Linked DNA regions of Rattus norvegicus. The protein of the gene in region 1 purifies or fractionates together with the protein of each later gene. This does not show direct contact. Links are inferred from orthologs where the notes say so. Each region holds a gene or a part of one and is shown on either strand. Other genes may lie near its edges.

Region 1 (4,186 bases):
TCCACACAGTGAGAGGGAATTCTTGCAATAACAGTCGGCACTTTACTTTTACATGGTAAATATGTCCGTCCCTAAATAATATTTATAGACGATCTTTGATAAAATATTTTTCAGTTGCTTTTAGCTAACCTTTTAAGCAACAAGAGATTTGCTCGAGAAGAGGGTTTTATCTTGCTTTGCAAGAAGGCAAGATCATATCCATTTAAGGACACAGGAGCAGCTGCAGCCACACATTTTTCTTACCCACAGGAAAGAGAGGGAGGCTGAGTTTACTCTGCTATAAGCACTTTAAGAATTACACATAGGTTCTCTAAAACTAAACAGTGAAATTGAAAAAGTAGGATCCACACATGTGCTGATTTACATACATGTAATATAAAATCGGTGGAGCGTGAGAGGAGACAGCAGGACATGGTCGGCTCTGCAGCACGACCCAGTTCTCAAAGCCACTCTAGACCCACAAGTGCCATCTGACTTTCTAAAAAAAATTTTCTTACACTTCAGACAAAAACTTACTTACATTAGGTCAAAAACTTTCAGAAATACTCAACACTTAAATCTGAACACTTGGAAACCTGGTCAACACATCACTGCCATACAACTGACAGGAACCTGCAGCTATTTCTTTCTAGAAAAGGTGCTCTTGACACTGTATCAGCTTACTAAGAGTCTGTTTGCGTTCTGTGGTAACACAATGTAGCTATAAAAAAAAATCCTTAAATGTATAAGTTGCATCTTACTGCAGATAACACATGCCTAATGAAATATAGAATCATTCATAAGAACATTGGTTAAAATCTTAACTGCAGAGAATGTAAGTTAAATGTATTTGCTCCTTCTCTATAAATTTTTTCTTTTCAAAACTCAAATTATTATGCTAGTTTCCTCATACACATTCTCTCACCTATCCTAGACAGCAGTACCTAGAGAGATACAAAGCACAAATATAAATAGGACAGGGAAAGGCCTCGACTAGCACCCAAGAACACTCGCTGCTCTGACAGCAAGGCTCTGAGGGCAGCTCCACTACCCTGCCTTGTGGCGCCTGCAGCCTCCCTCCTGCGTTCCTTCACAGGATTTCAGCTCTTGCACTCAGCAGCAGGTGTGAGCCTCCCCAAGTCTGAAGGTGTGTGTAGCCACTGTAAAGCTGCGTTTCAGACGTACTTTATTCTCAGGGACCTGTCATTCACAGCTCTACATTAAAACTAGAGGTGAAGCACAACATGTTACCGACATGTCCAAACCTAAGGGTAAGTGCTAAGGTTTGCTGTGATAAGAGCATGGCTAACCAATCACAGGTTGGGATTCCTATGTGATGTCATAAGACCTCCCTAGAATGCTTTTTCTCCTCCACCTACTGCAACTGTTCCCATAAACCTAGGATAGAAAGCTGCGCAGCTGAGCTCCCAGACTTCACACAACTAAACAGTCTGCATTGTGACGATCACAGAAGCCAAGGTAAGGCACGGTATCACTGACTTTGGACATTCTTACTTTCTGTAATTCGATCTTACTAAACTTTTAAAAGAATTCTAACCCCTAAATTCCAAAAGCTACATAACAAAAGAATCTATGACAAAATGCTTACTTTCTAAATAAAATCTCACCCATTTACTGACAGTAAAATTAGACCACTTTAAAAGAGATCCTATTCAGCCTGTTTGGGCTACTTACATTTGGTTATTTTGGTTTTGCACATATGAACTCCCGATTTAAAAACCTCCCAATTATATTAGCATATATGTTGGTAGAGATAAATTAATTTTCATGCAAACGTAATGGTTTCCTTTGCTATGTGGCTCTGCTGGAACAATGCAGGATGAGGTCACTTATTTACCGCTGGGGGACACAGCTTATTCTCAGCTGTTCATAACTGTGGGGCATGCACACTGAGCGCACTTACTTGATGATATCATTGTAGCTCTTAAGGTGAGACAGTAAAAGAGATTTTAAAGAACAGAAAATGGAGACTACTTCTCAAATGCTCTTGATGACTGTTACTCTCTAAAAATTCCAGTCAACCTTTAAATACTTCTAGAACTTTCATTTTAATAAAGAGAATAGTTTGTTTCAGTTTGATTCTATAAAGAAAAAGTTAGATATTTTTAAAACAAACACATCTTTTTTAAATGACAGAAAAATAATTCAACATTTTTAAAAATAAAAAGGGCATTTTGGCATAGGAACATTTCTAAGGAAATTTGAATACATTCTAACATAGAGTACATTTATCACATTTTTACTCTCCATTGTTCCTAAGTTTCCTGCCATGAATTTAGAAGTAAAACAAAATATCCAGGAATGGAGATGCAACACTGTATTATTGCTATTTGTTACAAAGCTCAATTAAATAAAATGTTTTCTTACTCTTAAACCTATTAGATGACATAGAAAAAACTCACTTTTACTTTACTACTTACATTCCTATCATACATAAATGCTAAATAAAACTGACCTCTATAATTCTCAATTCCTGTAATTCTAACTCAAACACAGCTGTCTCCTACGCAGAACTCTTGTCGGGAAAACATCTCTAGTATGTGCTCTTAACTCCAAGGAACCCTAACCAGCCTCTCAATAAATTTGTAACCCTAAAAATATGTTTCCTTTGATATTGTACAAATGACACTTGGTGCCAAGTTTATCTGGCAAATTTCTGCATTTTTTTACCTTTTTATTTATCCATTTACTGTGGGGGGGGGCATACAATTGCACGTGTGTGAAGGTCAGAGGAGGGTTTGTAGGAGTCAGTTCTTTCCCCCCACACGTAGGCTTCAGGAACTGAGCTTGGGTCATCAGGCCTGGCAGCAAGTGAGCCGTCTCCCTGGTCCCTGTGTTTTACTGTAATGCCTATCAATAACATTCCCACACTAGAATGACGTGTACAAAAGTTTTTCAGTGGAGTAGGGGGTAGGTAATGAGTTTCTTCCCACCAGAATTCCCTTATATAAACAACTTCTAGAAAAAATATAAATTCTGCTATCAAAGCATCTTTAGCAGGTTAAGAGGATGGCATAATTAGTGCCTGTAGTTAAAATTTTCAATAGAAAGTACAGTGCCAGGTATGCTTGAACCATGTGTTCAAAACTAGCTTTATGGTGACATTGAAGTATTTTGTTTATAAAGGTACATGCTTTAAAAAAAAAGATAAAATCAATGAAGAAATGTAAAAAATATAAAAATTATGAAATATAATGGAAAAAATGAGAAAAATTGCTTTACCAAAAAGAGTCACATCAATGTCATTTCCTAAAGCAAATCAAAATTATTTTAACAATATATTAGTAAACATAAAGGAAAATTATTGTATTTGGGTCATACATTAATATTATTTCTTAATCTCACCAATTAAGACATAATATTTGCATTGGTTATATAATTTAAATTATATATTAAAACATTAAGTGAGAAGGATTATAGATCACCTCTATAAATTAGATAACGTAATTGTATTTATTCTAAAGAACAATTTCCTAAGTGCACACAAAAACTCCCTTTTACCTTAATTCTTGGTGTATTTGAATCTCTACATCATAATTTGGAAAACAGATTCTAAAACAAGTGAGGGCTATGAGGTTCACAGAGCTATCCCCAAATACAAGACCTTGAGGAAGAGGTCATTTGCACATCTAACCCCACGGTGACTAGCGAGGCTAAGATACACCATCATCCTCACAAGTGCTAAACACTACCAATGGTTACTTCAAGGAAAAATGAGGATGCAAACTTCTGCTAACTGAAAAGCATTCCTCCGTTTCATTTAAGAGCCATCAAGTGTTGTATCTGTACTACTCTATGATATTCTAAACATCATCTTCCAAGTCAGGCATAAAAAGTTACTGACGTCTTTAGTTTTCACGCAGTAAATTCTAGTCAGCAAAGGCAGACATTAAGATACTACAATCAGTCAAATTAAAATATCCAATTATTTAGCTTGCTTCACTGATAAAAATATACCTGCAATCCATTTAAACTTTTTATCTAAAAATCAGATTAATTTTCCCATAACTTTGTACAAAGGCTTCAATACTCTATTCCATCCCTACATTCCATCAATTTCATTTCTTACAATTTACAAACTATCCAAGGTCACTGTTTTCAAGGTTCCTGAATGAATTTTGCATTGCTATTTACACTATGAGAATAATTTTCATCTAATATAGGAATTCACACATTGATCAGAGCA
Region 2 (4,061 bases), on another chromosome or scaffold:
GAAGCTGACACCCAGGCCAGGCCTTCAGCAACAACTTGTGGCTTTGCACCCAGCCTCTGGGGCCCCGCCCACATGACTGCCACTGCCCGAACCCTGCTGTTTCTTTTCCCTCTTCTCCTCAGGCTTAGGAAGTCTGTGCTGTCTTTGCTGCTAACTCTGTCCTGTCCTCTTTCTTTATACCTATCTCCACCTTCCTCTCTCTGGAGCCTCTGCTTCATCTAGCTTCAGGGGTCCTGCCCTTGGTCCCTCACATGGGGCTGGCCCAGCTTCAGAGCATGCCTACCAGTCCTGATCCCCACTCCCTCTGTGGGCTGTTGCATCAGGGCCAGAGCTTCAGAGAACCCCACATCTCTGAGGGGTCACCATGAAGCCCTGGGGTTGAAGGCCAGTGTAGGGTGAGGAGATCCTTACTCCCCTGCCCCACCCTGAAACACTCATCCCTCCCCCTCTGCCATCAGCACATTCTGTAGCCTCTTGGGTTACCTGGCTGCCTGGGTGTCCCATTTTCTTCGGGGGGGATTCCCTGCCAGTTTCATGGGGGAGCTAAAGGCTGTGTTCCCAGAGGCTGAGCTAAAGCGGTAGTGGTGGGGGGAGTTCAGGAGAGACAGACAGTCCTGGCTTTGCTTACCAGGGCCTGGACACTAAATCCCTTGTTGATGGCTGCAGCAACCCCTCCCTAGGGTAAGGTTACCATCTGCACTGTCCCCTTGACCAGCTCCCTTCCCTAATTCCCTGTGTCTCTCTAGAGCTACTTCCTCTGTCCCCAAAGATGCTCTCCCCTTTACTTTGACCCCCCAAAGGCTTGGAATACTTCTTCTGTTAACTGAACATACTAGGCAGGGGAGGAGACTGTGACAGTGGAAAGGGGTTCAGGATGTCAAGATAAGGCTAAGGAGTGATGAGGCCTAAGGGCCAAGAGGGCTTACGGAAAGAGCTGCTCAGGGTGAGCTTGGAACGGAGCATTTAGTGTAATTGGGGAAGTTGAGGCAACTGGGGGTGGGGTCAGCAGCAGATAATAGAAAGTGACTTTACTCCCCCTCCCCTCTGGGGCCAGGGCCACCTTTGCGTCCCTTATGAGTGACACCTCAGGCTGCAGCCCCACTGTTCCTCTCTGTCAGCAGAAACCTCTCTCTCTCTTGACCCCTCCTGCTGGGGTCTCAGCCAGCCAATCCCTGACCTGGGGGAAGGGGGAGCCTGCCCCCCCACTCCCTCATAAGGACCAGCTGGGGGCTGGGGGGGTGGCCGGCTGCACAAGTAGGACTGGGGTCAGAACTTCGTGGAAAGGAGAAGAATCTGGGGGGGCAAGCAAGAAAAAGGAAGGAGCCCAGGTTAACAGGCAGGTGGATACACTGAAGAAGTCCCCCCACAAGTGAGAGGCCCCTAAGAAGGAATACATCACCCCCTGGCCCCCAAGAAGGGAGCAGAATGGAGGCCGCACACTCCAAGTCCACAGAGGAATGTTTGTCCTATTTTGGGGTGAGCGAGACCACAGGCCTTACCCCAGACCAAGTTAAGCGGCATCTGGAAAAATACGGCCCCAATGGTAAGTATCCCTCAGAGGAGAAGCTGGTATGGCTGCCTTCCTACCCCTACCAGTGGGAGCTGCTTCTTCCGGGTGTGTACGATCAAGTAGGGCAGTGGTCTGTTTTCCTGTAGGAGGAGGAGGATACTAAAGAAAAGTTCTAAAATCTGGAGTTTGGGGAGGTTCAATGTGACCTTGAGCCTCATGGGATGCCCTTTTGATTCCCTTATGTTAACCACAGAGTTTGGGGTGCTGGGGGACATGAAGCTGGGCCCCCACTGAATTTGTTCTTTTCTTCTTTTTTCCCTGGGTAGAGCTCCCTGCTGAGGAAGGTAAGTTACCCGGGGCCCTCCTGTGTGCCTCATTCCCAACTCCCTGCCTTCTCCTTACTGAGACCCATAGCCTTTACCCAAACGACAGAGGCCCTTTCTCAAAATTTAGTGTCAAAAGTCTCCAGACACTTTCCCTGAGGCCTCCTGCCCTGGAACAGTTGCCACAGATTTGAAGAGCCTTTTTGGCTGTTTCATCCCTTTCTCTCATGCCAAGCTGGGCTGCCCATCAACTTAGAGGACCAGGGCACTCTAGACTCTGGGCCCCAGCCCATCCAGAGCTGCAGACACTCATCGTTTGGACCTTAACCCCTGGAACTCCTCTTCTTGCCTCTCCCAGGCAAGTCTCTGTGGGAGTTGGTGGTAGAGCAGTTCGAAGACCTGCTGGTGCGGATTCTCCTCCTGGCTGCCTGCATTTCCTTTGTGAGTACTGTCTGAAGAATGACACGAGGCTTGGGGTCTGCCTGTGGCTCTTACCATCCTGGATGCCCTGGTCCAAACCCTAAACACCCTGTTTTCCACGCTGGAGCTGGGGGTGGGGTGCTGATTTGCTTCCTCCCCAGCAGAGAGGTTTTATTTTAAGCCTTGAGAGTGTTCTCAGCCAAAACACTGAAGCTAAGCCACCCTCCCAGCTTCAAGGGCTTCAAGAGCTCAGGTTACCCCCCCTAAGCATAGGGCTCCGGCTTCAATAAGGGCTGCCATGTCTACTGTGGGGCCATCATCACTCCCTGCCTGTCCTGGTTGCTCCCTACTCTGCTTCATCAATCCTGCCCTGCCCTCTCCAGCTTGTGATGCTGATTGACTAAAAAAAGAAAGACCTGCTTAGAGGAGTGGAGAATGTGCTTTGGTACAAGGGCGACTGCCAGTGTGGTCTCCAGACCTTCTAACCTTCCACACCCCACCCCTCAACTGTCTCCAGGCTCTACCACATCCTACTTCCATTAGGCCTGGAGCTTCGTGCCTACTTCTCTTTATCCAGCCTTATTCATCCTTACCTCTTGGTGTCTCCCGTTCCCTCAGAGCCTCAGGCTACCCCATCCCCTTGTTTCAGCTCCAGTATTCATAGCCCACGCTGCTGGCTGCTTGTCACCCTTCATTCCAGCAGTCCATCTTGCATTTTAGAAGTTCTTTAGCATCCTAGTTGGAAAATAAGACCTAGGAGAGAAAACAAAAACAAGAACCAAACAAACAAACAAAACCAATACTGTGTAGGCCCCGTGCGCTCCTGGGCCTAAGCTGGCAGAGCTCCCTTCTCTCTCCTCAGATTTGCTCCTTGACATTTGCCTGTGGCTGCTGTCTGGCAGTCGTAACAGCTGGGGTGGGGTGGGTGCAGGAGGCCTGTAACCCTACCTCCCTCCTGTTCTCTCATGAAATCGGAGCTTCCATGCCTTGGTGGTAAGGGAGGGCTGTGGGTGGGCTGGGCCCTTCCAGAACCGTAGGGATTTTCCTATTGGGCTTGGGTCCTGTGGGATGGTTGTGGCTGTAGGGTTGGTTGACCCTGGGTGTCCCCAGAGGTTTGCTTACAAGCCAACAATTTGCTCAGGGAAACCCGAAAGCTGTCCCAGGTAATCCCCAAGTGTGTGTGGCTGCATCACCAATCTGCACAAAATCACAAGGATGGCTGGGTCTGTGTGCTTGGGGCCCTGTGGCAAAGGGAAGAGCCTCATGTTTAAGTGGGGCTTCAGCATGCCACAGGCCCCTTAGCTCTTGTCCACCATCTGACTTCTGCAGCCACCTTCAAAAACCTTCCAATTCCTTTTGTCATTTAGGGGCTTTGTTATCATCCGTTTATTCTCCCTCCCCCTCTCAGGTGCTGGCCTGGTTTGAGGAAGGTGAGGAAACTGTCACTGCCTTTGTGGAGCCTTTTGTCATTCTCTTGATCCTCATTGCCAACGCCATTGTGGGGGTTTGGCAGGTTAGTTTTGACCCCTCCTCCCACCTCCTGTCTCAACACTGAGCAAGGGGCCACATTTCCTTCCAGCCTCCTCCAATATTCCCCTGGCCTTGCCCACTCTTCTGGTCTTCTCATCCTGCTTGGGAATGGTAGAGGGTGTTGGAAAGAGCCGAGGGATCATTTGCTTACATGTGACCACGTCCCTAAGCCTGTTTCCTCACTTGTGAAACAAGGCTAGTAAGCTAAGGGTAGTGGCACAGCCCTGCAGCACCCCAGAGGCAGAGGCAGGGGTCTCTTTACTTCTAGGCTAGCGGGG

What was found. The genes of interacting proteins can lie anywhere in the genome.
Region 2: the proteins of Pln (region 1) and Atp2a1 purify together in Homo sapiens (affinity purification with western blotting, with the first as the bait; 3 studies listed by BioGRID). This does not show direct contact. The link is inferred for Rattus norvegicus from reciprocal best matches to the Homo sapiens genes PLN and ATP2A1.

Annotation. Positions count from the first base shown.
Region 1 is NC_086038.1:33,171,108-33,175,293, forward strand, and holds the start of Pln (cardiac phospholamban), read left to right. Parts: upstream 1-1,386; 5' UTR 1,387-1,458; intron 1,459-4,186. UniProt on the Homo sapiens protein: Reversibly inhibits the activity of ATP2A2/SERCA2 in cardiac sarcoplasmic reticulum by decreasing the apparent affinity of the ATPase for Ca(2+).
Region 2 is NC_086019.1:190,472,611-190,476,671, reverse strand, and holds the start of Atp2a1 (sarcoplasmic/endoplasmic reticulum calcium ATPase 1), read left to right. Parts: upstream 1-1,261; 5' UTR 1,262-1,425; coding exon 1,426-1,543; intron 1,544-1,836; coding exon 1,837-1,854; intron 1,855-2,191; coding exon 2,192-2,274; intron 2,275-3,661; coding exon 3,662-3,766; intron 3,767-4,061. UniProt on the Homo sapiens protein: Key regulator of striated muscle performance by acting as the major Ca(2+) ATPase responsible for the reuptake of cytosolic Ca(2+) into the sarcoplasmic reticulum.